7 linked regions of the Callithrix jacchus genome follow. The protein of the gene in region 1 purifies or fractionates together with the protein of each later gene. This does not show direct contact. Links are inferred from orthologs where the notes say so. Each region holds a gene or a part of one and is shown in the gene's direction. Other genes may lie near its edges.

Region 1 (4,082 bases):
CTTGGAAAGTGTCTAAACCTGAAGAGCCACCAAGTCCCTCTTCTTTCAAACAGTGATAGGATATGTAAGGGTTTGAGAAGATGTTTGCAAACTCCACAACAGCGCCCAGAACTCAAGGTGTGTAAGGAGGTGTGGGAAACCCTAATGGGATGAGGCAGAGAGCCTCAGATTCGAGGTTTTTTACCCAGGAGAGAGTGGTGAAGGACGAATGTTGCAAGATTTTGAGTAGGCTAGACATTTATAGCATTGAGCATAAGAATATTCCAGTTTCAGCTGGGCACAGTGGCTCACAACTGGAATCCCAGCACTTTGGGAGGCTGAGGCAGGTGGATCACAAGGTCAAGAGTTCAAGACCAGCCTGGCCAAGATGATGAAACCCTGTTTCTACTAAAAAATACAAAAATTAGTCGGGCGTGGTGGCAGACACCTGTAATCCCAGCTACTTGGGAGGCTGAGGCAGATAATTACTTGAACCTGAGAGGCGGAGGTTACAGTGAGTTGAGATCCTGCCACTGCACTCCAGCCAGGGCATCACAGCAAGCCTCCATCTCAAAATAAAAATAATACAAATGATTTAAGAAAAGAAAAGAAAAAGAATATTACAGTTTCTGGCTGCGCGCGGTGGCTAATGTCTGTAATCCCAGCATTTTGAGAGGCCGAGGTGGGCAGATCACCTGAGGTCAGGAGTTTGAGATCAGCCTGGCTAACTTGGAGAAACCCGGTCTCTACTAAAAACACAAAATTAGCCAGGAGTAGTGGCACGCGCCTGTAATCCCAGCTACTTGGGAGGCTGAGGCAGGAGAATCACTTGAACCTGGGAGGCGGAGATTGCAGTGAGCCGAGTTTGCGCCACTGCACTCCGCCTGGACAAAGGAGCTAGACTTTGTCTCGCTGGAAATGAATTCCTCTGCTATGCATCCCAGCAAAAGGGCACCTTAAATGTCTAACCCGGGAAAGTACAAGGTTATTCCTGGAATCTGGAACAGTGACTATTGTAGGTGCGCAATAACCGTTTAGTGAAGAATAAAGAATTGAAGTCAAGTGGTTGGCCTACTTGGAACAGTTGGGGTGAGGCGCGCCAGGGCCGGCGCCCCTGATTTCCACGTCGCTACTGGTAACGTCCCACCCTGCACATCCAGGGCGAACTACAATTCCCACAACAGCCCGCGGCTTCCCCGCCCACAGGGAGGGAAGGGCGTGAGCAGGCACGGAACCGGCTTTTTCTCCTTCCTGCAGCGTGATTGGCCCACGGCTCAGGGAGGCTGCCAATGACTGCTCTCACGGAGAGCGACGAGGCCAATATGGCTTCCTGCACTTGGTGACGCTGGGAGAAACTGAATTAGGTCTCATGGAGAAGCCCCCGCGTAATGAGGTGAGAGGGAGAGGACTTAGCGTGACTGGGAAAGGGAACCCCGAGAGCCTCGCTCCGTGGATCCTTCTTGAGGCCTTTTAGCGACGCCTGGAGGGTGGAGGGTGGAAGGATGGATAAGCTGAGGTAGGTAAACTGAGCCAGGGCCAGAGGCGATTGGCTTTACTTTTTGTTCCTTTACTGCTGGGGCCAACGTTAGGCAAGGTGTTCAGGGAGGAACAGGTGTCCCTAGTCTGGGGGAAGGGGAACTAGGTTTAGGATCTGAGAGCTCCTGAATCTTCTTTTTTTTTTTTTTCGAGACGGAGTTTCGCTCTTGTTACGCATACTGGAGTGTAATGGCGCAATCTCGGCTCACCGCAACCTCCGCCTCCCGGGTTCAAGCAATTCTCCTGCCTCAGCCTCCCACGTAGCTGGAACTACAGGCGCGCGCCACCATACCCAGCTAATTTTTGTATTTTTAGTAGAGACGGGGTTTCACCATGTTGACCCGGGTGGTCTCGATCTCTCGACCTCGTGATCCACCCGCCTCGGCCTCCCAAAGTGCTGGGATTATAGGCGTGAGCCACCGCGCCCGGCCAGCTCCTGAATCTTCTTTGTCATCTTTGTCTCGTGGCCGTGTTCTTTAGGGCTTGTGAGGCCTGTTACATGAGGTAGGAAGTGAAGGGAGATTAAAGTTGAGTGAACACTCCTTGTCTGTAACGTTCACATGCATTATCTTCTAGTACACCCACGGCAATCCTGTATTACTCTTACGTCTTTGTCGTTCAAGCCACTGAGGCTTAGAGGTGGTGCGACGCCACAGGAAGTTACCCCAGGTGGAAAGTGAAGGAGGTTGGCATTAAGTCGGCCCACCTCCAAAACTTTGCCCGTTATGCAGTCCCACTGTACTGCAATCTGCACCCCACTCTTTTTTTTTTTTTTTTTTTTTGAGACAGAGTCTCGCTTTGTCTCAAAGCGAGAGTATGGTGGCGCGATATCTGCTCACTGCAACCTTCATCTCCTGGGTTCAAGCAATTCTCCTCTCTCCACCTCCCGAGTAGCTGACATTACAGGGATGTGCCACCACATCTGGCTAATTTTTGTATTTTTAGTAGAGACTAAGTTTCACCATGTTGGTCAGACTGGTCTCAAACTCCTGACCTCAGGTGATCTGCCTACCTTGGCCTCCCAAAGTGCTGGGATTACAGGTGTGAGCCACAGCACCACCTCATCCATTAATCATTTGGCTTCTGGGGACCTTATATTTTTAAGAGACTGGGTGTCCCTATGTTGCCCTGGTTGGAGTGCAGTGGCTACTTACAGGCATGACAACACATTGCAGCCTCAAACTCTTGAGCTCAAGCAATCTTCACACCTCACCCTCCCAGGTGGTCTCTGCCAACCTGCCTGACAAGGGTACCTATATTTGAATTGTTTCCTTTCTAGCATATTTGCATGTGTAGTTGCAAATATAAAGTGGAATAGCTCAAACATTCTGCAAGGGTAAAGGAGAATAATAATGTGGAGAAGAATAGCAGGTCACACTTTTAAAGCTGTTATTAGGCCGGGTGCGGTGGCTCAAGCGTGTAATCCCAGCACTTTGGGAGGCTGAGGCCGGTGGATCACGAGGTCAAGAGATCGAGACCATCCTGGTCAACATTGTGAAACCCCGTCTCTACTAAAAATACAAAAAATTAGCTGGGCATGGTGGTGCGTGCCTGTAATCCCAGCTACTCAGGAGGCTGAGGCAGGAGAATTGCTTGAACCCAGGAGGCGGAGGTTGGGGTGAGCCGAGATAGCGCCATTGCACTCCAGCCTGGGTAACAAGAGCGAAACTCCGTCTCTAAAAAAACAAACAAACAAAAAAGCTGTTATTGACTGCTGGAAATAGAATTAGTCTTTACATATCTTATCTCAGTCTTCATAACGATTCTCTAAAGAAAGATTATTTCATAACCATGAAGAAACTGAGGGCAGCAAGATAAAAAATGCACAAAATCACACAGTAAGAGTTAGAGCCAGCATTCAGTCCCAGGCAAACCAGAGTCTATGCTTTCAACTAGCAATTATTGGCAATCTTTATTGACCACTTACTATATGCAAGTGACTTTTTTTTTTTCTTTGAGACAGAGTCTTGCTCTGTTACCAAGCTGGAGTGCAGTGGCTCGATCTTGACTCACTGCAGTCTCTGCCTCCCGAGTTCAAGCCATTCTCCTGCCTCAGCCTCCCAAGTAGCTGGGATTACAGGCTACCACACCCAGCTAATTTTTGTATTTTTAGTAGAGATGGGGTTTCGCCATATTGGCCAGGATGGTCTCCATCTCTTGACCTTGTGATGCGCCTGCCTCGGCCTCCCAAAGTACTGGGATTACAGGCATGAGCCATGCGCCCAGCCACAAGTGACTATTCTGAGTGCTTTGCCAGTATTGTCTCTTACTTCTCCCCCAAATCTTTTTGAGACAGGGTTGCTGTTTGTTACCGAGGCTGGAGTGCAGTGGTACAATCATAGCTCACTGCAGCCTTGAGCTCCTTGGCTCAAGAGATCCTCCCACCCCACCTCAGCCTCCCTAATCACCACATCCAGCTAATTTTTTGCATTTTTTGTGGAGACAAAGGTCTCCCTATGTTGCCCAGTCTGGTCTTGAACTCCCAGGCTCAAGCAGTCCTCCTGTCTTGGCCTCCCAAAGTGCTGGGTTTATAGGGGCTGGGTTAAAGGGGCATGAGCCACCATGGC
Region 2 (4,030 bases), about 9.3 Mb from region 1:
GAGCTTGGTTTGCTAACCTGTGACAGTCACTGTTCCATGCTCCAGGGCACCTGGCCCAAGGGACCAGGCCTTTTGGGCACACAGATCCACACGCAGCCCTGCCGGACCACACAGGAACCTTCCCTTCTGTGTCCTTCCTGGGAAGGGGATTCCAGACCATCTGCCAGTCTTTCGGTTCAGCCTTTCTGACAAGCGCACACCTCACTCTCCCCGGACATTTTTATTTCAAATGCTCTGTCCCTTTGTTTGCACGGGTTCCTGTGTCATATTCTGTGTTCCCATTTTAAATTGGAGAATAAGTGACTGCATGTTATTCTTCCCACAGGCCTAGTTGAGCGGGTAGGGAGGCCGTACCTACCTCCAAGGCTCTAAGAAGTGAAGCAGGAGGCGAGAATGCACAGTAGTCAGGGCTAGACGACCGGGCCTCACCTTCTAGGCCCCGGGGTCCTCCTCTGGGGACCACCCCCTTGTACCCGTAGGTGAAAATACCCGCCCAGGAGGAAAGGGTTGGCCCCAGAGAGCCCTGTGCAAAGTGAGTTTGCGCACTGCGGAGCGGGCGCGGGTGTCTCCAACGCGGCTCTCCCAGTCCGCGGGGCTGGGGAGGAGCAGGTGCGCGCACCGCTGGCTCTGTGCCAGCAGAGGCGGGAAGAGCAGCCGGCCCCGCGGGGAGGCGCAGCCCGGGCTTCCGAGCTCAGTGAACGCGCAGGCTCTGGGGCTTCTAAATGGGCCGGAGTCGTCCTGCCCGCCCAGGGTAGGCGGCCACATGGGGGGCACTGCGCCCGGGCGCGGCCCCAAGTGCTTTCCAAACGCCCACTGCCGCTGTCATCCGTACCGGCGATGATCCAGAAGGGGCCTGGTCGCCCGGGGAGGTGCCCCGGTCCGCCTCGATTCCGGGGACAACGCCAGGCGACGCCACCTGCGCGGGTCCCGGAGGGCCTCTGGTCCCAGTGTGCAGGGCGTACTCAGTCTTGGAAACGCGAGAGCACACTAGCACTTTCCTGTATGTATTATTATACTTCCATTTTTAGGAAGTGCATTAGAAGGGCCTGCGGCAGCTGAATTCGGGATTAAAGCTTTAAAGCGGGAAGCGTGCTCCCGGCGCGGTTCCTTTAAAGCGTTGGGCCTGCCCGAGGCATTCTGGCCGCAGCCGCGGCCCGTAGCGCTTCTCCGAGAGGCGGGCTTTGTGCGCTCGCCCCGCCTTTGGACAACGCCCCCTCCCCTCGCGCACGCGCACTGCGCCCCCGCCGCCTGGCGCCCGCCGGAGCTGCCGCCTTGTCGCGCAGAGTCCGCGCTCCCGCCCAGGAGGCGGCCGACGCGACGTCCCGAGCGCCCGGCCCCGCCGCCGCGGCCCGACAGGTAAGTGGGCAGCCGCCCGGCCCGGGGGGCACGAGGCGGGGAGTGGGACGGCGCCAGAAGCCCTCACATCGTCCCCGGCCGCCGCACGTGTTCCTTGCCGGGCCTCCGGCCAGGCCCAGCCCCCGGCGCTACCCCCACTGCGGCGGCCCCGCCCGGGACCCCCTCACGGGCTCCTCGGTGGACGGCCGCGCGCGCAGGCCCCTGCACCCCGCCCGCCCCCACCGGCGCTCCCACCTCCGATTCCCTGGCGGGCCGCTGACAAGGCCCGAGCGCCGGTACTGGGGCCTCTCCCTCGGCGGCGCGCCCGGCCTCACATCGCTCCTCTTCCTCCATCTCCAGGGAAGGACCAGACCCACGAGCCAGTCAGTCCCCGGACGTGGCGCTTCCCTTCGTAGAAACGCCCCAGCCCGCTCCCGCCGCTCACTCCAACCGGAGGCAGCCAGGCTGCACCTCGCTAGGTGGGGTCCTGGGGTTCGGGTCCTCGCTCCTGAACGGAGGGTCCCCCGCTCCTCCTCGCGCGGGGCCGCAGACCAGTCCTGGCCGGTCTGCGAGAGCCATCTTGAGCGGTTACGTTCCCGGACTAGACGGAGGTTGGGCTGTTACTTCCCGCTAACGACCCTCCCTGCTGTCTCGCAGGCAAGTTTCCAGCTACCCAGGTCTGTTTTCCTATCTCCCAAATGCTTACGCTGTGACCTGGGCAGGTGCGGTGCTAGCCGGTGGGGAAGACAGATGGGTAAGCGAAGGACCCAGGCCGGGAGCCCGTCCAGGACCTGAGATGCGCAGCGCCGGGTTCCCACCGCTGTCGGGCCGGCCACCTGGCTGCTGTTTGGGATGCACATTCATTCCGGTCTGCACGCAGCATGCTCTCTTGGACAGCATGCCGCAGGCCGATTCCTGGGCTCCACCTTGGGGACTGAGGGACTCCGGAATCCGCCAGTGGCATCCAGCCCAGGAGAGCATACTGAGCTTTAGTTGCTGGGCTTCAGGTGGTCAGGCTTACCTGGATGAAAAGCAGCAGCTGCTAGGAGGAGCCAGGCCGCACCTGGGCGGGGGCGGTCAACTCCTCATCACCGTGCATGGAACCTTCTTGGCCCCCACTTTTTCAGCATCAAGTCGCCAACCTTCCTGTTCCCTTAAAGTGATTCTTCACAGAAACTCCTGGGTGTTTATGAAAATGCCAAGCTTTGGGCTGGGTGTGGTGGCTCACACCTGTAATCCAGCACTTGGGGAGGCTGAGGCAGGCAGATTGCTGAGCTCAGGACTTCGAGATCAGCCTGGGCAACATGGCAAAACCCGTCTTTACTAAAAATGCAAAAAATTAGCCGGGTATGGTGGTGCTCGCCTGTAATCCCAGCTTCTCTGGAGGCTGAGCATGAAAATCGCTTGAACTCCGGAGGCGGAGGTTGTAATGAGCCAAGATCTTGCCACTGCACTCCAGCCTCGACCCAAAAAAAAAAAAAAAAAAGAAAATTTCAAGCCTAGACCCCACCACTGAGGTAGAAATTGGTGGGTGTGTAGTGTCAAGAAACTCTATTCTTAAAAGGCATGTTAAAGTTAAGGGTTTTTTTTGTTTCTTTGTTTCTTTTACTTGTTAATGTTTTTAGAGCCCAAAGGGTGGGGTGGGTGGGCCTGAGCTGGGAGGGGTTGAGCTCCTTTTGTAAGACCGCCAGTCTGCTGCGCCTTGCCTGAGGGTGTTTCAGGCATCTGGACTCACCTAGGTGAGTAGACAGCTGACTGGAGCTGCTCGGCCCTCTGAGCTGCCGGTTCTGCCTTCTGTTCCTCTGGTGTTTCACTTGGGTAGGGAACGGCCACACTTCACTCAGCTCTTGCCCTGACTTGGCTGTCTCCGGCTAGGACCTTTGCAGTGGACTTTGCAGCTTTTTGCTTGGATTTCCGTAGCTCCTCCCTCTCCTTGTACTTGTCCAGCGTGCCAGGGAGAAGGCAGCAGTTGGGTTAAATTGCCATGGCCAGGTTGCACTTATGACAAGCACCATGTAGCCGGCATTTACCGAGGACTGGCTTTGTACTGGCACTTTGTACTCTGGGCAGCTCTACAGGGCCTGCCCCTCCCCTTCCCCACTCGTGTGTGTGTGTGTGTGTGTGTGTGTGTGTGTGTGTATGTGTGTGTGTGAGAGTGTGTGATGCTCAGGCTTTAGATGCATCGTGATCCATCCTTTCGAAGGGAATCTTTGCTGCAGGCGAAATGGATCTGTGGCCACACCTGTTTTCTGGAAAGTGGGTGTTGTAGTTTCTCTGCCTTCCTCTTGCATCAAGACTTTGAGACTCTTTTTGATGCCTTCCGTTTCACCTTAATGTTACAAGCAGCCTTGCAAGATTTCGGTTTCAAGCTGCAAACTAGAACGTACAGTGTGTAAACTCGTTAGATGGATGGTGGTGCTAGCTTCCAGAATTCTGATGGCCAGTGGTATTTGCAAGCATGTCTCAGTGGCTTGCTTTTTTAGTGATGCTGTGCCTCCTTTCAGAATAACCTGTTGTGCTTTTATGAGACGTATTCAAGTAATGGATCTATTCTCGAGATGGAGGAAACTAGCTGCTTACTAGAGAGATTTTGGGTAAATTTTATTGTCAAGCTGAAACAGTCTTTTTTCATTCCCTTGCATGTTGGTCTTGCTCGTAGAATATCCCTGGTGTACTTGAGGCTGCTTTTCCAGAA
Region 3 (4,096 bases), on another chromosome or scaffold:
AAAATGGCGGCCGCCAAATCCGGTTCCCGGGAGAGAGGGGAAGGGGAAGCTCCGCAGCCTCGCTCACGAGGACCCGCTGCCCGCCGAAACGCTCGCCGCCGAAACGCCGGAGCCCCCGAAGCAGCGTGCTTTAAAAAGGGAATAAGAATTCCCGCCTCCGCGCCCCACTTTCACTCCAGCGGGGCTGCGTCCGCCATGTGAAAGTTTCCCATCCCCCACCCCCAGTGAAGGGAAATGGCGCCGGAGGCTGAGGGTGGGGAAGCTGTTTGTACGCTCAGGCCTCTGTCAAGACCCTGTTCAAAAACCTAGAACCCACTGCTACTGAAGCGGTCCAATTTCCTGCCGCTCTCCCACCGAGGCGGCTGGCCGACTTCCACTGAGGCGCCAACGGCCTCGCCATGCCCTTTCCAATAACTCATTGATTTCAAACCCGTTACCTCCATCGCGGACTCAGTCGCTTCAGCCCGATTTCCCGCAGCCGAGCGAGATGAGAGAGATCTCCGCGGACGAACACGAACCGGACTCGTCCTGGCGCTGTAGTGAGAACTGCCGCTGCTCGAGAAACAACACCGCTAGGGGAACCTCCGCTCGGGACCCGGCGCTGCTGCTACTGCCGCTAGAGCCGCTGCCGCCGCTTTTCTAGAACCTTCCCCCCCGACTAACGCGTCTTCCTCTACGTCAGGCCGTTGCGTAAACGCCCTAACCGCCGCCAATGGCGGGAAGGCTCTGCGCCCCGCCTTACGCCAAATGCGTAGCCCTCCCCACCTCGCGGCTAGCGACAGTGCCAGACGTTACTTCCGTAAATGCGCTCAGTGAATTGAGGAAGGCTCGAGGCCTGCCTCCTATTACCTCTCAGAATAGGGTCCCGCCCCCCCCGCCCCCGCCTTGGCGCAGGGCAGGTGAGAAACGGTCGCGCAGTTTGAAATTAACGCCGACGGGAGGAGCTTAAACCGCAGCCCGGAGGTCCAGCCCCCTCAACACGGGAGGTGGTCTCTGCAGCTACGCCTTTGATACCTTCCTTCCTTCTCCCGCCATAAAAATCTTCGTAGCTTTCCCTTTTCGTTTTCCGTGCCCCCATTCGGCCCCTTCCGGAAACACCCGAATCAACTTATAGTCAAATTACTATTCACGCCGCACTGACCTAACCCTGGCCCGCGCCTATGGGGCTGACCTCTGGCGTACAGGAGTCCCTGCCAAAAGGGGTCCCAAAGCGAGTTGTTTTTAGGCTCCCAACTCCCCCTCCCCCAGCGTCTGGAGGATTCCACCCCCCACCCGCCCAGGGGCGAGGAAGTAGGCGGAGTCCGGTTTTGGCGCCAGCCGTAGAGGCTGCGGGGCAGAAAAGCCACCGCCGAGAGACTCAGGTCGCTGTCCTCGCCCCTCCTTCCCTCTCCCTCCCCTCGGGGGACCACCGGGAGCCACGCTGCAAACCGTAAGTGCCGCGGTCGTCGCAGCCGCCCTCCCCACCTTGGGCCCCAGTTCCCAGGGGGCGCGGCGCACGGCCCCTCCCCTCCCGCCGGGCGCGCGCCCGCTGCCCCGCCTTTCGTGGCCGCCCGGCGTAGGCGGTGCCGCCCCTCCCCACCGCAGCCCCTTGCGCAGCTCCCGGCTCCCTCCCCACTTGGATGTGGCTGGAGCTGCTGGCGCGCAGGGCCGAAGACGCCGCAGACCCGCGACCCGGAGCACCTCGGAGGCGGTGAAGTCGGTGGTTTTCCTTTTGTCTAGCCCTCGTTCAGTGGCGGTGTTTTAGATACCACACACGCTCCGGGGGCCCGGTTCCTTGCTCCCCTTCCCTTCGTTCCCCGCCAGACCCCGCACCTGGAGCTGCGGGAAGGAGCGGAAGGTCGGGCGGTGGCCTCGCGGCTGGCGTGGCGCGGGTTAGCGCCTGCAGTTAATTGGGGGACTGTTCTGCCCTCGAGGGAGCAGAGAGTTGTGGCAACCGTCACTCTTTCGAGACAAAGCGCATTTCTCCTCCCCTCCCCCACCAGCATTCTGGCGGAGGGGCCCCCCCTCCCCTGGCCGCCACGCGGGGCTGGGCCGAGACTTAGGCCTCCGGGCGGGCGGCGCGCGGCCCGCTGTCCCAAGGGTGCGGCGGCCGCCCCGTTACGTGGCCGCCGCGGGGGTTGCGCGGGCGGTGTGGCGCAGTGCCCTTGAGCCCCTGCAACACGGCCTTTGTTTCTCCCCGCGGATGAGCTGACCACGAGGCCCGTGCTCCCGGGTGGGGGCGGGCGCCCTCGCTTAGGCCTCGGGACGCCGGGGTTGGGGGGCGGGGAGTGGGGGCGCGGGTGTATGGAAGGTGATTGCTTCTTCAAGGTGTCACGAAACGGGGACTGAAGCATCTTAAGTTTTTTTCCTTTAGTTATTTACCGATTGGAAAGAGGGAGGGTTTCTGAGCAGAAACCAAGTTAGGATTGCAGAGCAGAGAGAAGATTCACGGTGGTTTACCGTTGTGAGTTGTTGGTAATTACAGTCCTGTAAAAATGGGACATGGACTTTATTATAAATGGGACTTCGATTGGAAAAGGCACTTGTCCCCTATTTTAAGCCATGTAAGCTGTCTTAGGTACCAAGATCCCCAGTAAAGTCTTTTAGGGTCATTTGGTTAGAAGACATACTGAGGCAATTTAAGTAAGAGCGCAAATCTACTCTAGAATTGGTATCCACGTTTGAAATGTGCGCTCCCTACTTGGGGGTTGGAATCCAAACAAAACTTATATTTAGCTACTCTTTTTTGTGTCGTGCAAACATTTTAACTGTCGTGCATTTTTCTAGTAATAGCTCTTCAAGTCTGCAATAAAAAATGGCCTCCAATAAAACTACATTGGTAAGTTAATTAAAACCTAAAATGTGTAAGGATTTAACTAAAGCCTTTTTCCCAAAAGAAGTGTAACTTTGCATCTCTGTGGCTGAGAAATTTACATCCACATATTTCCCAGCTCTCCCAGCATAATTATAGGGGAAAATTAAGAGCAGAATGAAATCATTACATGGAGATACTGACTTGGCTTAATAGTGTCTTCACTAGTTTAAAAAAGGCTAATCTTTGAACAGTGCAATGTGGATTTTGCTGACGATTTTTATCTTCAAATAGAAATGCACACATTTTTGCAACGTGCAAAAATGTTGCATAAAATGATATACCCCTTTTTGGTTGACATAATTCTTAAATCCACTGAATTGTACAGAAGTATTTTCATTAAAGCCCAATTTAAAGAACCAGGTACCCTGTGCACCTAGATTGGAGGAAAAGTCAATCTTTCAAATTCCTTTGGTCACTTTATCTTGTTTTAACTTACTCTAACTTATAGATGAATCATAAATTTAATTCATTGCAGTGTTGTGTTATTTGAACACAAAATGATCGAAATCGCAAATATGACCCGGGAGGGAGAAAAAACTAGATCTTCTGTATCTTTTGACCAATATTTTCCTCTCCAGCAGTTTAAGATATACGTATATTCAGCCATGTCAAGTTTCAAGTTTTTTAAAACGCTGGAATAGTCACATAAAAATCACGAAATTCATAATTCTAGTTCTCACATTTAATTCTAACATTGCATTAATAATCATAAGCGTGTAAAGGTGAGTGTGTTAATGTCTCCTAAGCAAAGCAAAGCATTTGTTTTTGGTCTGTATATGCTCTCTCTGGGTTTCACACTAAAACGGGCAGGTTGGTGATTTTTAATTCGTGCCATCATTAGGATTGTACATTAAGTCAGATACCCTGGAAAACAGATTGAGATAAGTAATGTGAAACCTGTGGGGTGAGTCTGTGGTGCAAATGATTCTCATGTATTTTATGTAAAGATGAGAACCATCAATGGCGCCTCGGGATTGAGTTGCCCTTCAGATTGTATAATCGGTAAACCAAAGTGTAGGTAATTGCCTAAAGGTACTTGTATTCTCCTTCAAGTACTAGATGGGAAAGGAATTAGCTGTCTGTGAGGCTTTAAGGCTGAATATAGATACAGAAAGCAAACTAATAGGTGTTCCCATTAAAATTAAGTTCTTTTTGCACACAGTTGATAGCCTTTGGAATCTGTTATTTATTGGTATTTAAATATTTTGGGAAGGGTCACAAGTTGACCACTTGAAAATATTT
Region 4 (3,954 bases), on another chromosome or scaffold:
TTAGAAGATGGTAATATTAGTATAGCACTTTTCTGAGTTGTTATAAAAATTATATATTATGAAGAATATTGGAATGTTTTATAAACTTCAAGTGTAACATCATATGGTTATAATTTTTTTTCCTTTTCCTATACTGTGCTGGGAATTAATTTTTTAAAAATTACGTATGATCACTTAATACCCTTTCTTTTGATTTTCTAGTCAGGGAATAATTTTCTGATAATTAGGCTTATGAAGTACCTTGAAACTAGAAAAGGGGTGCCCCAAACTATATTTTGGCTTCATGACCACATTACAAATTAATACATTTAATTTTTAATCTATAAATAAGAGCTCTTGCGCTTGACCATCGCTAGTCAAATTCATTCTTCAAGCTTGATCATCTCTTTGAGAATTGATGAATCCTTCCGAAATTGGCAAAGCTATAGAATAGAGTTCAAAGCAGAAAAGGTGTTAAGTGGGGGTTTTATGGGAGTAAACATTAGGTTTTGGCCTGAAGGGCAGTTTGTGAATATGCTACAAAATTAATTGGTTCTGATGTAGGACCACCTTTTCTGAGTTAGGAGATGGTATTTTTTTTTTCGTTTCCAATATACCATAGTTCGTATGAGGTGGAACCAGTAACTGTGATATAGACATGTCCCTGCCCCCTTTAAAATACCTCCTGTTTTTCCCACTCCTCCTGTCCCCAACAGTAGCAATAAGTTTAGCAAGAAAGGTCTTATCTTCTATCCCAAGGAAAATTCTAAGTACCATTTCCACTCCCAAGTAGGGCTTTTGGTTAAGCTGTATTTAAATTAGCATTCTTTTTCACTGGCCAGGAAAGGCTGGCAGTTCATTTGCAGGCAAATACCCTCGCTTTTTTTTTTTTTTTTTTTTTTTTTTTAATCTTCACAAAGTCACTCAGCAGGCGCATACTAAACGCTTGCTCCTTGGAGAAAGATTAAGCGGCTTCCCCAAGACCACACAGATCAAACAAGTGGGGGGAGGAGGGGCTGAAAGTGACTGGTATACCTCGCCACACTACCATAATTGCCCAAACCGTCTCATTCCGGGCTTTCAAGGGGACACGGAAGGAACGCCCGGGAGGTGAGCGCCAGGAGATCGGGAGAGGTGGCTTTCCCGGCATGCTCTGCAGCATACCGAGGGGCGCCAGGCGTATCCCGGCGTGCATCGGGGAGCGCCCAAGGGCGATGGTTCCCGGCTCCTGGAGAGGCGCGCGAAGTTAAGCCGGTAGGTGCGAGCTTCCTTAGCTTTGAGTCTCTGGTTTCTCGTTTCCTCTTTATGGGTTTAACCCCAGAACGGCAGAAAAGGAGGCCCTCTAACTACCCTCCCTTTCCGCGTGCGAACGACTCCTTGCCGCTTCGAGCTTGGTGCCAGGTGATTAGCGGGTAGGGGCGGGCCTGCGACCAGCACGTGACCCGAGATGGAAGCCAATGACTAGCCGGGTGGTCCAGCAGCGCGAGGATTCCGGGACCCGCGAGCGGAGCGGCGCGTGGGCCGGTTGCGGTCGGCCCTGGCAGGTACGCGCAGGCGCCTTGCTTGCCACGCGCTCCGCCCGTCTCCACGCGCCTGGTGGCGTGTTCTTGGCGCGAGGTGTTAAAGAGTCTGGGTGTTTTTGTGAGTTGGGGGGAAGGAGAAGGGGGGGGGAAGCTCATGCGTCACGTGGACGCCACAGCCAATCTGAGGCCGAGGCGCACCCACAGCTTTCTCCGGCGCCCCGGGGTGCGACGTGTTCAGTGAGGTTCGACTGGGCCCTGACGGTCTGAGCGCTCTTTCGAAGCGCGTGTGCCGCCTGTAAAATCTGGCCGCGGCTTTTCGTGGCGTCCTGCTCCGCGGTGAGCACAGACGACAAGTTCTCGGCAAAATGGCTGCTGGAAAGAGTCTCGGAGCAGGGGGAGCGCTGGGGCCGCGTGAAGGTCACATGATGAGGTTGGCAGCGCGTGCTGCTGGCGCGGGGAAGGGGGAGGGTGGGGGGGCGTGGCGGGTCACGTGCCTTCGACTGCGCCGGCCCGTGGTTTTCCAGCGTCTTTGCTGCGGTCGGATGGCCTGCTTTTACTCCTCCCATCTCGAAGCGTGGCAAGCGTCGGTGAGAAGTTGCGTGGTGTATTGGGATGAGCCAAGATCTGGGAATTCGGAGGCCTGGAGTCCAGGCCTTTAGCTAGTTTTGTAATTAGCAAGTCATGTTGCCATTCGTGGCCTCCATTTTCTCATTTATAGTTTAGCTCTGTAGAGATCACCTTTTAAGGTCCCTCATACGGCCTCTGACACCTAACTTCAATTTCATGTAGATAAAAAAAATTTAACAAATTCTTACAAATTATAATGAGACAGATCCCCGCCCCCCCCAAAAAAAAATCCGCAGCCACTCCCCTCTCAGTCGTTACAGTAATGTGGGAAACCTGGTGGAGGTAATTTGTTGTAATATTCTGGGCATGTCTGTCCATCTTTATCAATCCCATTTATCCTTTATAGCTGCTCACGAGCTCATTTCAAAAATACTGTCTTTTTTTTTTTTTTTTTTTTTTTTTTTTTTTGAGACGGAGTTTCGCTCTTGTTACCCAGGCTGGAGTGCAATGGCGCAATCTTGGCTCACCGCAACCTCCGCCTCCTGGGTTCAGGCAATTCTCCTGCCTCAACCTCCCGAGCAGCTGGGATTACAGGCACGCACCACCGTGCCCAGCTAATTTTTTGTAATTTTAGTAGAGACGGGGTTTCACCATGTTGACCAAGATGGTCTCGATCTGTTGACCTCGTGATCCACCCGCCTCGGCCTCCCAAGTGCTGGGATTACAGGCTTGAGCCACCACGCCCGGCCAAAAAAATACTGTCTTTTAAACATCTAATCCCTGTGTGTTTTCTGGGAGGAAATCAAAAGGTAACTCCTATTGTCATAACTGTGGAGATGAGGAAATAGTATTTAAAAGGGAAGTACTGATGCCCCATAATGCTGACTAGAAGGACCTAGAAGTTTCTTTTCCACTTGGTGGGCCCATCTTTGTAAAAGTTTAGAGACCTGGTACCCACCAACCTTTAGTATTTTTCTTCGTCTCTGCTTTCAGCTCCAGCTCTTCATTTCACCAAAGAAGGGTCAAGTCATTGGTGAAGAAAAACAAGCATAAATTGTATGTTTTCCATATCACTGCTTATGTTTTATGATGTCTTTGATGTATCTTAAAAAGAGGCTTCAAATGGGAACACATCTGGAAAATATTGAGCAGTCATTGTAACTGTCACTTTTGAATAATTATAGTATCTTTCTGGCATAGTGTTCTAAGTATTTTATACTGTATTTAATTCATTTAGTTCTCATAACAAACCTACAAGGTAAGTACTCCATTTTACCACTGAGGAATATAGCAACAGAGAAATAAGGCTGGCCATTTTACATAATTCCAACCAGATTTCCTTTTGAAAAGTTGACAAAATGATTCTAAAATTTATTTGAAAAAGTAAACCTAGAAAGTAAGAAAATTTTTGGAAGAGAAGAATGAGGAAAGGATTTGTGCTAGAGAATATACAAATAAATCTATGATAATCAAAATACAATAGCAACTGGAATAGACAGTAGTAAAACTGAATAGTCTAGAAATACATAAGGCTAGTTAATGTTATAAAGGTGATATTTCTTCTTTTTTTTTCTTCTTTCTGAGACAGAGTCTCACTCTGTTGCCCAGGGTGTAGTGCAGTGGCATGATCTCGGCTCACTGCAACCTCCATCTCCCGGTTTTAAGCAATTCTCCTGCCTCAGCCTCAAGAGTAGATGGGATTACAGGAGTGGGCCACCACGCCTGGCTAATTTTTGTATTTTTAGTAGAGACAAGGTTTCACCATGTTGGCCAGGCTGGTCTCGAACTCCTGACCTCAAGAGATCCTCCCACCTCAGCCTCCCAGAGTGCCAGGATTACAGGTGTGAGCCACTGTAGCCCAGCTATAAAGGTAGTGTTTCATATC
Region 5 (3,980 bases), on another chromosome or scaffold:
TTTAGCTTTCAATGATGATCAGTTGGTAATTGATGATCTGGTGGAGTGGTTCTCAATAGGAGAGTTGGGGTCAATTTTACACTCCCTTATACCTGGCTAATATTCCCCCAACCCAATGGTAAAGCTATTGCACAGTACTTGGCAATGTCTGGAGACAATTTTGGTTGTCACAGCCTGGGGGGAGGGTGCTACTGGCATCTAGTGGGTAGAGGCCAGGGATGCCGGTAGACTTCCTATAATGCACAGAACAGCGTCCTATAACAACGAATTACCCGGCTCAAAATGTCATTAGTTTCCAGGCTGAGAAACCTGCCCTCCTATCGCGGGATAATCCCATTTTCTCCTGTCTAAAGAGACTCCTACTTAGTCATCCTGGGTGACTGAATCACGGAGGTAGGTTTTGGAGTCAGAAAGGCTGGGTTCTGTCACTTTTTTACAGAGCCTCTGGTGCAAAGAAGGCATTCAAAAAATCCTCAACAATTGAAAAATTGAATTTAATTACCTTGTGTAACTTGGAGTAATTCACAGAAGTCCGAACTTCTTTTTCCTAACCTGTAAAATGGAAGTAAAAACCCTTGACCGAGAGCTGTTTTGAGGAATAACTGAAATAACAGTTAAAGCTGTCGCACAGTACTTGGCTCACAGCAGCCCCTCGAAAAAACATTAGTTTTCTTTCCCTTTCTTGTCAGTTTCTCCCTCTCCAAACCCGCGTGTTGCTTTTCTTTTCAATTTTTAATTATTTGTCTGTAGCCCTCCTTTGCGGTGACAAACTCGCTTTCTAACCCAGGTTCAGCCCGTTTATTGGCGGAGTGACCTTGTGCAAGTCACTTTTCCCCTGTAGGCCTCGGTTTATTCTCCGTAAAATCAGAAAGTTGGCCTCCGATCTCCAAGCACGTTTCCCACGACGAAGTGGGCCTAAGTTTACCAAGCTGCTTTCCTCCCCCGGGAGTGATGGTACGGTCCCCGGGCGGCTCCCCACCCATCTGTCGCAGACCTTGGTACAGGCCCAGGGGGCCTTTAGCCGCTTCTCCAGGCTGCCCTTGCCCCCTGCCGAGTTCCGGGCCCGTGTCTGCGCAAGCTGATTGGCTGGAGCGGTGCCCGGGCTGCGCGTCTATAGGTGAGCCCAGGAGGGGACGGGCGGGGCGGGCCGGAGACCCGCCCCCTCCCCCCTGGGTCGGACGCTGAGCGGAGCCGCGGGCGGGAGGGCTGACGGACCGACTGACGGGAGGGACGGGAGGCGAGCAAGATGGCGCAGACGCAGGGCACCCGGAGGAAAGTCTGTTACTACTACGACGGTGAGCACCGTCCTCGCGGCGGGGGCGGGGCCGGGCCGGGCCGGACCCGGGACCTGGAGGCTGAGGCTGGAGCGCCGAGGGGAGGCTGCGGGAGGCTGAGGCGCTGGGGAGAGGCTCGGAGAGGAGGCTGCGAGGGGGAAGTCGAGGCTGAGGGAGGAGGCTGCGAGAAAAGAAGATCGAGGCTGAGACCAAGAGGGGATCGCGTGGGGGAAGCCTGAGATAATCTTGGTGGAGAGATTCTGAGGAAGTCCGATAGGGAGAGTTTGAGTGGGACTCCTAGAGGGGAGGCTGGATCTGATGGAGACGGCTGCGAGGATAAATTTTCCAGCCGAGAACCCAAAGCTCTTCCCTGCCCCGTCCCTTCCTCATCTTTTCTGAGGGAAGAGTCGTGCACGACTGGTCGCCCGCCTCCCCTCCCCCAGCCTCTGAGCTGGGCCTGCGGTTGCTGCTGTGACGTTGGGGCGCCTGGGGTTGCAAGGAGAAGGATGCAACCTGTTAGAACACACTTCTCACTTGATCTCTCAAACTGGTTACTGTGTTCGAGAAAGTGTTGAGGGGCTGGGGCCGTGGGGATGATCGGGTCACCCTTCCCAACGACCGAAGTTCTCTCCTTGTCAGAGCTCAGAGTGTTAGGGGAACACAGATTAGAGGCACTGAACTCCACCTGTGGAGTCAGCGAAGGAGGGGACATTTCAGGACCATCTCAGTTAGGTCCTGAAAAACAGGAGTTCTTAGCCAGGCACGGGAAAGGCAAACATAACAGCAAGTTCAGAGACAAGAAAGAGGACAACACCTTTGAAAAACAATCATTTGACCGGGCACGGTGGCTCACGCCTGTAATCCCAGCACTTTGGGAGGCCAAGGCGAGTGGATCACTTGAGGTCAAGAATTTGAGACCAGCCTGGCCAACATGACAAAACCCTGCCTCTGCAAAAAATATAAAAAGTAGCCAGGCGTGGTGGCACGTGCCTATAATCCCAACTGCTTGGGAGGCTGAGGCAAGAGAATTGCTTGAACTCAGGAGGTGGAGGTTGCAGTGAGATGAGATCAGGCCACTGGACTTCAGCCTGGGCGACAGAGGGAGGCTGTCTCAAAAAAAAAAAAAAAAAAAAAAAAGAGGGAGACTCTTGTCTCAAAGAAAGAAAGAGGAAGAAAGACAGGCTTTGTAACAGTATGGCTGAGGCATAGATTTGGGGGCCTAGTGTAGAAGGTGGGGAGCAGGGACGAGGGAAGGGTTGCAAATAATGAGGCTGCAGAAATAAATAGGGACCAGCCAGGCATGGTGGTGTGTGCCTGTAATCCCAGCTACTCTGGAGCCTGAGGCAGGAGAATCCCTTAGAACCTGGGAGGCAGAGGTTGCAGTGAGCTGAGATCACGCCATTGCACTTCAGCCTAGGTGACAAGAGTGAAACTGTCGCAAAAAAAAAAAAAAAAAAGAGTTGTAAATAGGGACCAGACCATGAAGGGCTGGGCATGCTGTCCCAAGGAAGTTGGACTTTATTGAGGGCACTTGTGAATGATTGAAGTTTTATGCAGGTTAGTGACATCATCAGGTTCATACCTTAGAAATTAAAGTCATGGGGGCCGGGTGCTCTGGCTCACTCCTTTAATCCCAGTACTTTGGGAGGCCGAGGCAGGCAGATCACTTGAGGCCAGGAGTTCAAGACCAGCCTGACCAACATAGTGAGACCCCGTCTCCACTAAAAATACAAAAATTAGGCTTGGTGAGGTGGCTCACACCTGTAATCCCAGCACTTTGGGAGGCTGAGGCAGGTGGATCATGGGTGACTAACATGTCGAGACCCCATCTCTACTAAAAATACAAAAATTAGCTGGGCATGGTGGCACGTGCCTGTAATCTCAGCTACTCAGGAGGCTGAGGCAGGAGAATCGCTTGAACCTGGGAGGCAAAGGTTGTAGTGAGCCAATATCACGCCACTGCACTCCAGCCTGGGCGACAGAGCGAGACTCTGTCTCAAAAAAACAAAAACAAACAAAAAAAAGAAGTTCATGACTGTAGGGGTAAGGGAGAAGACATGGATCCCAAGTTCCTGGTGTGGGCAATTTTTTTTTTTTTTTTCCGAGATGGAATCTAGCTTCGTCACCCAGGTGAGAGTACAGTAGCATGATCTTGGCTCACTGCAACTGCAACCTCCACCTCTCGGATTCAAGGGATTCTCCTGCTTCAGCCTCCTGAGTTGCTGGAATTACAGGTGTGTACCACCATGCCTGGCTAATTTTTATATTTTTATTATAGATGGGGTTTCACCATATTGGCCAGGCTGGTCTTAAACTCCTGACCTCCAGTGGTCTGCCTGCCTCAGCCTCCCAAAGTGCTAGGATTACAGGCATGAGCCACAGTGCCCAGCATCTGGTGTTGGCAATTTGATAGTGAGTGTTTAGAGGTTTGGAGAATGCCATGTCAGTTGATAACTTTTTTTTTCTTTTAATTTCTAGAGACAGGGTCTCAATATATTACCCAGGCTGGTCTTGAACTCCTGGGCCTGGCCTCAAGCAATCCTGCCACCTCGGCCTCCCAAAGTGCTGGGATTACAGGCCTAAGCCATTGTTTTTTGTTTTTTTTAGAAATAGCTATTGATAACTGTTAAGATGTTTAGGGGACATCCAAATAGAGGCATCCAGTAGGCAGTTTAGAAGATAGAAATTTTGGTTGGGCGCGGTGGC
Region 6 (4,244 bases), on another chromosome or scaffold:
CTAAATACTCAATTTTGCCTTCATAAAAAAATCCTAGTGAGAAAGGAAATTTCTGTTCTCTCTTTTGGGTACTGTTTGCCTTGGGTTTTAGTATGAGAGTTATGCTGCCTTGTGGAATAAACTGGGAACATTTCTCCCTTTTTTGGTCTCTCTAAAATCCAGCCAGTTTTGGGTACTTCATCTCACTCTCTTCTTCCAGAGGTGCCTCAACAGCACCATCAATCATTTTACAGTGAGGATCTCTCACACTAGCTCTCAAGGTTCCTCATAAAGTGGGCTCACAATGTTGATCTCCAACAAAGCCTTTATACCATTCAACTTTATCACATTCCTTGCACATGTCACAGACCTTCCCATTTTCAAGGCTTTGCTAATTTCATGACATTTGCCTTGTTAAATCCTATTAGAGTTTGGGCTGGTACGGGGTGTTGATGATTATGGCACAAGGGAACTAACATTTCAGGCAGAGACTGTGTACTTGCTTAACACCCTTCATTTTATTTAACCATCAGAATCCTGGGAAGTTTCGTTATTTTTATTTGCTGAATAGGAAAATAAACGTTATACACTAATAAACGGAGGTGCCACTAAATACTAGTACTGCATGATTCCAAAGTGATTGCTGCTTCCACTACACTGTTTCGCCTCCTCCATTGTGTTCCCTAGGTGGTCTCTCATGCTGACCTTACGTCCTCCGCGCTCCATTAGCAAATTATAACTGTACCACACCTTACATTTACACTATTGTATTTTCTATTGTTTCATCTATGTAGTTCTTATCTCACATACAGCAGTTAATAATAATCTCTCAGAATAATCTTTTTTTCTCAGAATAATCTCTCAGTATCTGTTCATCCGACTCCGTATTTGGATATCATATAAATCGCGGGAAAAAAATAAAAGGTGATTAAATACAAATAATTTTGACTGTGTTAGTTTTAGCTGTGTGTTGTAAGAAAAGCAAAAGGTCTCTATCAAAATAAGTTTAACTTTCAATGATCTCCCTGAGGATTTTTAGCGACCCTTGCAAAATTAGTGCCTAAAAAACACAGTGACTTGCCATTTGTGACTACTGGTCACCCCCTCACTCAAGCACATCAAAGAGCAGGATACGCTGGAAATCGCACCTACAGTCCCGACTCCCTAACAAGGAAAGCTAGACGAAGGGACGGTCTCTCCCACCCGCAGCGCGATGCGGGTCCTCCCCCCAAGCTTCAGTCCGATGGAACATTCCGTGCGATCGCTTTGACTGGGCGCCACTCGGAGTCACGTGGAGCCGCAGCGCCCAGGCGGAGCCTGGAGGAATGACGCGCGCTCAGGTTGCCAAGGGGCGGGGCGAGGCGCCGCGGAAGAGGCGGAGCGAAGGAAGCCGGCCGTGGGGCGGGGTGCGGAGCGCAGGGGCGGGCAGAGAGCGGCGCGCGGGCGGGGGAGGGCCCGGCGTATTATGGGATGCGGCGGTGGAATGGCGCTGGGCGCGTGATTTTGAACAAACCCTGGTCTGTGTCTCGGAGGCGCCGCCGCCGCCGCGGCTGCTGGGAGCCCAGGGAGCGCCGCGCGACCAGGAGGCGGCGGCGCCGCCGGCTTTGGTGAGTGTCAGCCCCTGGGATGGGGTCTTCTGGGCGGGCGGGCGGGAAGGGGGAACTGGCCCCCGCTGCCAGTGGCTGCGCGGGCGGAGAGCGCAGGACCGCTCCCTCCGGGATCCCCGGCCGGTGGGCCTCGGCAGGGAGCGGGAACCCTCAGGCGGGGTCCGCCGCGCCCCTTCCCTGGGCCGCGGGGGGCGGAGGATCCTCTGGGCTCGGCCTCTTCCCGCCGGCTCCCGGGAGGGTGGCTGTCACTCGGCAGGGCCAGCGCTCGGCCGGCCGCCTGCTCGGCGGTCTGGAGGAAGGGCTCCCGCGGCTGTTGACACGCACGCTGCGCTACCCAAGAAGCCGGCCGTGGCGGCCCTGGGTTTCTGAGAACCGGTTTTGCTGCTGTGTCATTTTGTGCCAGTCCCTCCTCTCCCTGCTGCCCGCCGCCGCGTTCTTCCTACGCCCCTTTGTACGGGCTCTCGTTCGTGCGTGTCCGTTTTCCTCGCGAAGCCCACCAGCCAAATGTCATAATGTTCCCGATGTGCACGGGGGAAGGGAGCGGGCCGGGACTTAGCTTGGCCAACAACGGTAAACAACCAAGCAGAGTGCGGATGGACTGGGCAGTCAGTGGGGAAATAAAGTTTAAAGATGAAGATATTGAGAACAGTTTACACGCTCAGCATCTGGCAGTCTGCATATAAAAACAGTCATTGGGGTGGGTGGTAGACAGCATTTGCTAAAGGCTGAATCTACCCACTTTTATCTGGAGTTGTCATTGAAACAAGGTAGGGAAATGAAATGACTTTTTCAACTTCAACCTTAATCTTCTTACACTAACTTGGATAGTAGAGTGGCCCTGTTCACAACCTTGAAATTAATTTTGCCCATTTCAGATAGATCTTTTAGAGCTTATGTTGCAGTTAAATGGTAAAGAATTCAGCTTTTGAATGGTTAACGCTTTCTGAAATGGCAGCCAGTTTCCTTTTTTTTTTTTTAACACTGGTCTCATTACAAGCCTTGCAGCTTATATTTTATTTTTTAGATGATTAAGAATTAACTTGTGTTCTCTTTTGTTTACTCATTCAGCTGACTGATGACAAGAGCTGGTAACTCTTACCTACCTAGTAACTCTAGGGTCGTCTTGTTCTGAAGCAAGCTGTTTATTTTCACTGTATTGAGCAAATATATCAGCAGCAGATTTTTTTTTTTAATTTGATTACTTAGATCCTAAAAACATTTGGCAAAGAATTTTAACTTCGAGTTATATTTTCAATATTTTAAAAATTCATCATTGATGAATGTTTCTACAAGTAGTTAAGTACATTTTAAATCTAGTTGCGCTTTGACGTCTTAAACCGATGACAGATTGGAAGTCGCTGTGTTCAGGGTCAGAAATGACCAGATAAAATTGTTGGAGAGGAAGATAGCTCAAAACTTTATTTGTAAAAATTAGGTGTTTTGATGACCTCATCTGCATGAGGATTACTGTCTGTAATTGACAAAGGTGTCAAAGATCAAACATGCATATGGAAATAGCTCATCCTGTCAAAGTAGTTCTCTGGGTGGGGTAAAATGTCAAAGTTGGTGAATAACACCAAGGGTCTTCACAATAATGTTTTTAGTGCCTGGGATAGCCACAGTGAATGAAGCGCATTCCACCATCTCTTTCAAGTTGCTGCTCTGAAAATGAAAGAGTTTGGGTTCTTTATTGTCCTTGTGCCACCTTCTGCATGGCTTTTGCTCTTCCAAACAAAAATATGCCGGACCTGGGACCCCGCAGGTGGTGCGACTTCCTTTGGCGTCCCCGCCTGGGGGTGAAAGGTCTCGGCGTAGCCCGTGTGCACTTGCTCGGCCCGTGTGCATTTGAAGGTTGGCGGGGCGGCGGGAGGCTTCCCCGGATATGTGGGTGTGCGCCTCCCGGGAGGGGCGCGGGGAGGGGAGGAGGAGGAAGGGGGAGGTTACTGGTGGCGGCGGCTGCGGCCCGGGCTCCGGCTGTCGGGGAAGCTGCTGAGCTGTGATGGTGATGACGAGGTGAAAATGGCGGATCTTTCGAAATACAATCCCGGCCCCTGACATACCAGAGGCGGCGGCGACGGCGACGTCGCCACCCCAGCTCCCTCCTCGGCTCCCGGGTACCCTGGAGCGCTCCAGTTTGGACAAACTGAGAAAGGAAGCGGCTGGCCAGAGCTATCCTGCACGGGCAAAACAAGCCCCGCCGGGGCTCGGGATTGCCCAGGACCTTCTGGAGCCCCCACCTTGGAGCCCGAGGGAGGAGAAAGCGGCAGCCGCTGGAGGTAGAGGAGGAGGGGGTACCCGAGGGCTTCTCTGTATGGAGATCTTTTTATATGCGGGGATGGGGTTGGGTGGGGAAAGAATTGTGCGGTGGATCAAGGAATGACTTGTCCGGAGTGCGGAGAAGCAGTAGCCTCGTCATGACATCAACATTATTCTTTGAGTGTTAAGAGGGCTCCAGTTTGCTCTTATACCTAAGGCTGCTGCTGAGGCCTAGAGGATCTGCTAGCACTTATCATGATTCCCTGATACAATTTTTCAAACATCCACTCTGGCGGGTGTTGCTTTGATGGCGTTCAGCAGTTCTTGGGGTTGTATGTTTCTTTAAGGAGGCAGAGCGTTGGCATTTTATTCTGCATTTAAGGTTTGTGTTTTAGATCCTAG
Region 7 (4,254 bases), on another chromosome or scaffold:
TTAATCCATTTAATCCTCACAACAACCTTATCAAGTAAGTATTGTCATTATTTGCCTTTTCCAGACAAGGAGACTGAGGCACAGACAGATTAAGTAACTGACTAATAAGGTCTTCTAGTTTATAAGTAGAAGCAGCCAAGATTTGAAAACACACCTTCTAGCTCCAGCTTAATTAACATGCTCTGTTTACTTATCTGTCCCCACTGAAATTGGAGGTTGAACCCATGGCATATTCAAATGAGTAAATATCTCCTGTACCCACCCCATTACCTGACACAATAAGTCAACAATAACTCATTCATCAAACAGGAGGAAAGGAGGAAGGAAGGGAGGGAGGGAGGGAGAGAGGAAGGGAGGGAGGGAGGAGAGAAGTAAAACAATTCCACAGAGGTTTGGTTACCCACATTTACTAAGCATCAACACTGACCAGCCTGTGCCATGAATAAATGAAGCCTGGGTGTGGTGGCTCATGCCTAAAATCCCAGCGCTTGGGAGACCAAGGTGGGAAGATGGCTTGAGCCCCAGAGTTCAAGACCAGCCGGGGCATATACTGAGACCTTTTCTCTACTAAAATTAAAATTAAAAATTAGCCAGGCGCAGTGGCTTATGCCTGTAATCCCAGCACTTTGGGAGGCAGAGGCAGGAGGATCACCTGAGGTCAGGAGTTTGAGACCAGCCTGACCAACATGGAGAAACTCCATCTCTACTAAAACTACAAAATTAGCCGGGTGTGGTGGCGCATGCCTGTAATCCCAGCTACTTGGGAGGCTGAGGCAGGAGAATCGCTTGAACCGGGAGGCGGAAGTTGCACTGAGATGAGCTCACACCATTGCACTCCAGCCTGGGTGACGAAAGCAAAACTCCACCTCAAAAGAAAAGAAAAGAAAGAGAGGCAGGCAGGAAGGAAGGGGAAGGAAGGGGAAGGAAGGGAAGGGAAGAAAGGAAAGAAAGAAAAAGAAAGAAAGAAAGAAAGAAAAAGAAAGAAAGAAAGAAAGAAAGAGAAAGAAAGAAAGAAAGAAAGAGAGAGAGAAAGAAAGATTAGCTGGGTGCAGTGGAGCGCGCCTGTAGTCCCAGCTACTCTGGAGGCTGAGGTGGGAGGATTGCTTGAGCCTGGGGATTCGAGGCTGCAGTGAGCTGTGACCACACCACTACACTTCAGCCTGGGAGACAAAAAAAAATTATTTTTTAAAAAAGAGAATAAATGAACATCTGTGCAGCTCAGAACTTTCAGTTATCAGCGTCGAGAATTCCAGGCGGGCGCTGCGTTTTCCCCGGCTGCTGCTTTCTATTCTCTCACCCCCGTCCCCTTCCTCTAAAATCCAGCTCCACCTCTTCTTTTTCCTTTGCCGTCCTCTCCGTGAACACCGCGGTCCGGGTTTTCAAGGCTCCGGCAGCCAGGAGAGGATCGCTGCGTGGGAGCGTTCCGGCCGCGGAGGGCATGCGCGGGGGGCGGTACAGTGCGCATGCGGGAAGATGGCGGTCCAGGCGACCTGAGAGGCGCGGGTTTCCCTCCTCCTGTCTCGTCTGCGGCCGGAGCTCCAGGGCACGTGAAGCCGTGGCGCGTTTTCCCGCAGGCGGGACGGCCTAGCCGGGCGGCGCCTCGGAGCAGGCCGCAGACCCGTTAAGTGCTGGGCCCTTGGAAATCGGCGCTTGGGGGGCGGCGCTCGAGCTAGGCGCGAGAGGGCGGGAGAGCTCTCGGGGTGCGAGGGGAGCGGGACGCCCGGCTGGGCAACATGAGTCAGCAGCGGCCAGCGAGGAAGTTGCCCAGTCTCCTACTGGACCCGGCGGAGGAGACAGTTCGCCGTCGGTGCCGAGACCCTATCAACGTGGAGGGCCTGCTGGTAAGCGCCGGGACGGGACGGGCGCGGGCGGGGGTCTCCCAGATCCGGCCCCCTCCTCCCCGCGCTGCCGCCAACCCCTCGGGTCGTCGTCTCGGTCGTTTGCTCCCCCTGGACCAGGCGCTGCCCGTCACGTGCTGCGAACTGCGCTCTCCCGCCTTTCTGGTTTCAGCGCCTGCTCGCAGACGTGGTGTCAGTCTTCTTCCCTTTTACGTCGGAACTTGAGGGCACTGTTGGAGAAAATTGCTCAACTTTGCATTAGAAAATCCATGTTTTTCTCCTTCTTCCAACTCTAGCTGTACCTCTGCAACCTATCATTTGTTCTCTTCTGCCTCCTCTCCCATCCTTTTACTCTACTGCAGCCGTTTAAAACCTTGTCCACGCTTCATATTTCCCACGTCACAGCTCCCGTTCAGCACATTATCTCCCCACCTGTTTGACAGAGAAAATGTTTAGGAGATTTGGCTCCCCTTCCTGCCAAAGCTGATTTTTTATACTCTTGTTCTCGACCAGCAGTTTTACTCTCTGCAGTTTTCAGGGCCCTTAACAAATGCATCCTTTTCCATTTCTCTCGTATTTTCTTTTTCTTTCTTTTTTTTTTTCTTATCCTTTTTCTTTCTTTCTTTCTGGGTTTTCTTTCACCCCCGAGATGGAGTTTTACTGTTGTTGCCCAGGCTGAAGTGCAATGGCGCAATCTCAGCTCACTGCAACCTCCGCCTTCCAGGTTCAAGCGATTCTCCTGCCTCAGCCTCCCAAGTAGCTGGGATCATAGACATGCGCCACCACACCTGGCAAATTTTTGTATTTTTAGTAGGGATAGGGTTTCACCATGTTGGCCAGGCTGGTCTCGAACTCCTACCTCAGGTGATCCACCCGCCTCGGCCTCCCAAAGTGCTGGGATTACAGGCGTGAGCCACTGCCCCCAGCCTCTCCCCATAGTTTTCATTTCTTTGCTGCTTTCTTCCTATAACTACTAGTAATTAAACATTTCCCAAGCCATTAATTCTGGTCCCCATGCCAAATAGTTTGTGATCATTGCCTAATTTCTCGCAGCAGTGTTTTATAATAAAAGATGATTATTCTTGTTTTACGGTTGCCAAAACAGACTTGGAGATGTATGTAATGCTGGCTTGCCTGTGGCTAGATAGTAAGTGGAGAAACTTGGGTTGAACCTCCAAGTTTCAACCAAATGATACATTCTTCACTACTAAAACTGCATTGTAAATCCATCCCCATCTTAAAAGATCACTCCCTTAATTGATCACTCCCATATTCCCTCCCATCTACTGTCTCTCTTCCCCTTCACAGCTAAACTTGAAAAAGTTATTTACACTCACTGTTACACTTGATCGTCCCTTATTACCACCTAACCCACTCCTGGGGACCCCTACCCTAAGCACACCTCTAAGAAGACCTTGCTAACTGACAATTTTGTCAGTTCCATCAGCTGTTGGGTTGTGAACAATCTTGTCATTTCCATCAGCTGTTGTAGTTTTGACACAACTCTCCCTTGAGTTTCCTTGACATTGATACTCCATCTGCTTCTCTGGCCTCTCCTTGTCCTCATCCTCTTCCCATTCCTTCATGTTGATTTTGTTTGTTTGTTTCTCCGGGACAGACTCTCACTCTGTCACCCTGGCTGGAGCGCAGTGCCATGATTATGGCTTACTGAAGCTTCGACCTCCCAAAGTGATCCTCCTGCCTCTGCCTCCCAAGTAGCTGGGACCATAGGCACATGCCACCACACCTGGCTAATTTTTAGTTTTTATTTTTAGAGATGGAGGCCTCCCTACAAGGCCCAGGCTGGTCTTGAACTCCTGGGCTCAAGCATTCTTCCCACCGCAGCTGGCCATATGTTGATGTTATTCGGGTTCTCTTCTACCATCTCTACACATTCTTCTTAGGGGAGTTCATTCACTCCTCCCATGACTTCTGTTACTATCTACATTTGATCCTTGACTCAGGGATTGGGGCACCAAATCCCATGAAATTCAAAATCTGAATATAATTTTGACTCCCTCAAACGTTTACTGTATCCTGGAAGCCTTACTGATAATGTAAACAGTTGATTAACACTTCTTTTATGTTTACCTGTATTAGATACTGTATTCTTATAATAAAGTAGCTAAAGAAAAGAAAATGTTATTAAGAAAATCATAAATAAGAGATAGCCTTTATTGAGGGGAATTAGATCATCGTAAAGGTCTTTATCTTGTCGTCATATTGAGTAGGCTGATGAAGAGTAAGAGGAGGAATTGGTTTTGCTAAATAAGGGGTGGTAGGGGGTGAAGAAAATTGACATATAAGTGGACCCACACATTTAAAACGTGTGTTATTTGAGAGTCAAACTGTGTATTGGTACCATCTGTATTGGTGGTCTTAAAATATGAGAATTTGATAAAAACTCAGCTCACTG

The links.
Region 2: the proteins of L3MBTL2 (region 1) and WDR5 purify together in Homo sapiens (affinity purification with mass spectrometry; 4 studies listed by BioGRID and IntAct, counting the BioPlex papers as one, with this or other methods). This does not show direct contact. The link is inferred for Callithrix jacchus from reciprocal best matches to the Homo sapiens genes L3MBTL2 and WDR5.
Region 3: the proteins of L3MBTL2 (region 1) and CBX3 purify together in Homo sapiens (affinity purification with mass spectrometry; 5 studies listed by BioGRID and IntAct, with this or other methods). This does not show direct contact. The link is inferred for Callithrix jacchus from reciprocal best matches to the Homo sapiens genes L3MBTL2 and CBX3.
Region 4: the proteins of L3MBTL2 (region 1) and MGA purify together in Homo sapiens (affinity purification with mass spectrometry; 3 studies listed by BioGRID and IntAct, counting the BioPlex papers as one, with this or other methods). This does not show direct contact. The link is inferred for Callithrix jacchus from reciprocal best matches to the Homo sapiens genes L3MBTL2 and MGA.
Region 5: the proteins of L3MBTL2 (region 1) and HDAC1 purify together in Homo sapiens (affinity purification with mass spectrometry; 3 studies listed by BioGRID and IntAct, counting the BioPlex papers as one, with this or other methods). This does not show direct contact. The link is inferred for Callithrix jacchus from reciprocal best matches to the Homo sapiens genes L3MBTL2 and HDAC1.
Region 6: the proteins of L3MBTL2 (region 1) and LIN54 purify together in Homo sapiens (affinity purification with mass spectrometry; 3 studies listed by BioGRID and IntAct, counting the BioPlex papers as one, with this or other methods). This does not show direct contact. The link is inferred for Callithrix jacchus from reciprocal best matches to the Homo sapiens genes L3MBTL2 and LIN54.
Region 7: the proteins of L3MBTL2 (region 1) and E2F6 purify together in Homo sapiens (affinity purification with mass spectrometry; 5 studies listed by BioGRID and IntAct, counting the BioPlex papers as one, with this or other methods). This does not show direct contact. The link is inferred for Callithrix jacchus from reciprocal best matches to the Homo sapiens genes L3MBTL2 and E2F6.

Annotation. Positions count from the first base shown.
Region 1 is NC_133502.1:192,009,236-192,013,317, forward strand, and holds the start of L3MBTL2 (lethal(3)malignant brain tumor-like protein 2), read left to right. Parts: upstream 1-1,282; 5' UTR 1,283-1,348; coding exon 1,349-1,372; intron 1,373-4,082. UniProt on the Homo sapiens protein: Putative Polycomb group (PcG) protein. PcG proteins maintain the transcriptionally repressive state of genes, probably via a modification of chromatin, rendering it heritably changed in its expressibility.
Region 2 is NC_133502.1:182,702,722-182,706,751, forward strand, and holds the start of WDR5 (WD repeat-containing protein 5), read left to right. Parts: upstream 1-1,230; 5' UTR 1,231-1,356; intron 1,357-1,695; 5' UTR 1,696-1,814; exon of another isoform or gene 1,815-2,012; intron 2,013-4,030.
Region 3 is NC_133512.1:31,898,891-31,902,986, reverse strand, and holds the start of CBX3 (chromobox protein homolog 3), read left to right. Parts: upstream 1-1,296; 5' UTR 1,297-1,429; intron 1,430-1,613; exon of another isoform or gene 1,614-1,699; intron 1,700-1,763; exon of another isoform or gene 1,764-2,212; intron 2,213-2,766; 5' UTR 2,767-2,794; coding exon 2,795-2,818; intron 2,819-4,096. Other genes in the region: HNRNPA2B1 (heterogeneous nuclear ribonucleoproteins A2/B1), read right to left, coding at 438-443.
Region 4 is NC_133509.1:44,984,519-44,988,472, reverse strand, and holds the start of MGA (MAX gene-associated protein), read left to right. Parts: upstream 1-1,154; 5' UTR 1,155-1,233; intron 1,234-1,442; exon of another isoform or gene 1,443-1,523; intron 1,524-1,985; exon of another isoform or gene 1,986-2,089; intron 2,090-3,062; exon of another isoform or gene 3,063-3,125; intron 3,126-3,954. UniProt on the Homo sapiens protein: Functions as a dual-specificity transcription factor, regulating the expression of both MAX-network and T-box family target genes. Functions as a repressor or an activator.
Region 5 is NC_133508.1:68,904,167-68,908,146, forward strand, and holds the start of HDAC1 (histone deacetylase 1), read left to right. Parts: upstream 1-1,180; 5' UTR 1,181-1,246; coding exon 1,247-1,295; intron 1,296-3,980. UniProt on the Homo sapiens protein: Histone deacetylase that catalyzes the deacetylation of lysine residues on the N-terminal part of the core histones (H2A, H2B, H3 and H4).
Region 6 is NC_133504.1:114,780,655-114,784,898, forward strand, and holds the start of LIN54 (protein lin-54 homolog), read left to right. Parts: upstream 1-1,444; 5' UTR 1,445-1,586; intron 1,587-2,149; exon of another isoform or gene 2,150-2,353; intron 2,354-3,384; exon of another isoform or gene 3,385-3,437; intron 3,438-3,528; exon of another isoform or gene 3,529-3,862; intron 3,863-4,244. UniProt on the Homo sapiens protein: Component of the DREAM complex, a multiprotein complex that can both act as a transcription activator or repressor depending on the context. In G0 phase, the complex binds to more than 800 promoters and is required for repression of E2F target genes.
Region 7 is NC_133515.1:103,581,233-103,585,486, forward strand, and holds the start of E2F6 (transcription factor E2F6), read left to right. Parts: upstream 1-1,454; 5' UTR 1,455-1,733; coding exon 1,734-1,841; intron 1,842-4,254. UniProt on the Homo sapiens protein: Inhibitor of E2F-dependent transcription. Binds DNA cooperatively with DP proteins through the E2 recognition site, 5'-TTTC[CG]CGC-3'. Has a preference for the 5'-TTTCCCGC-3' E2F recognition site.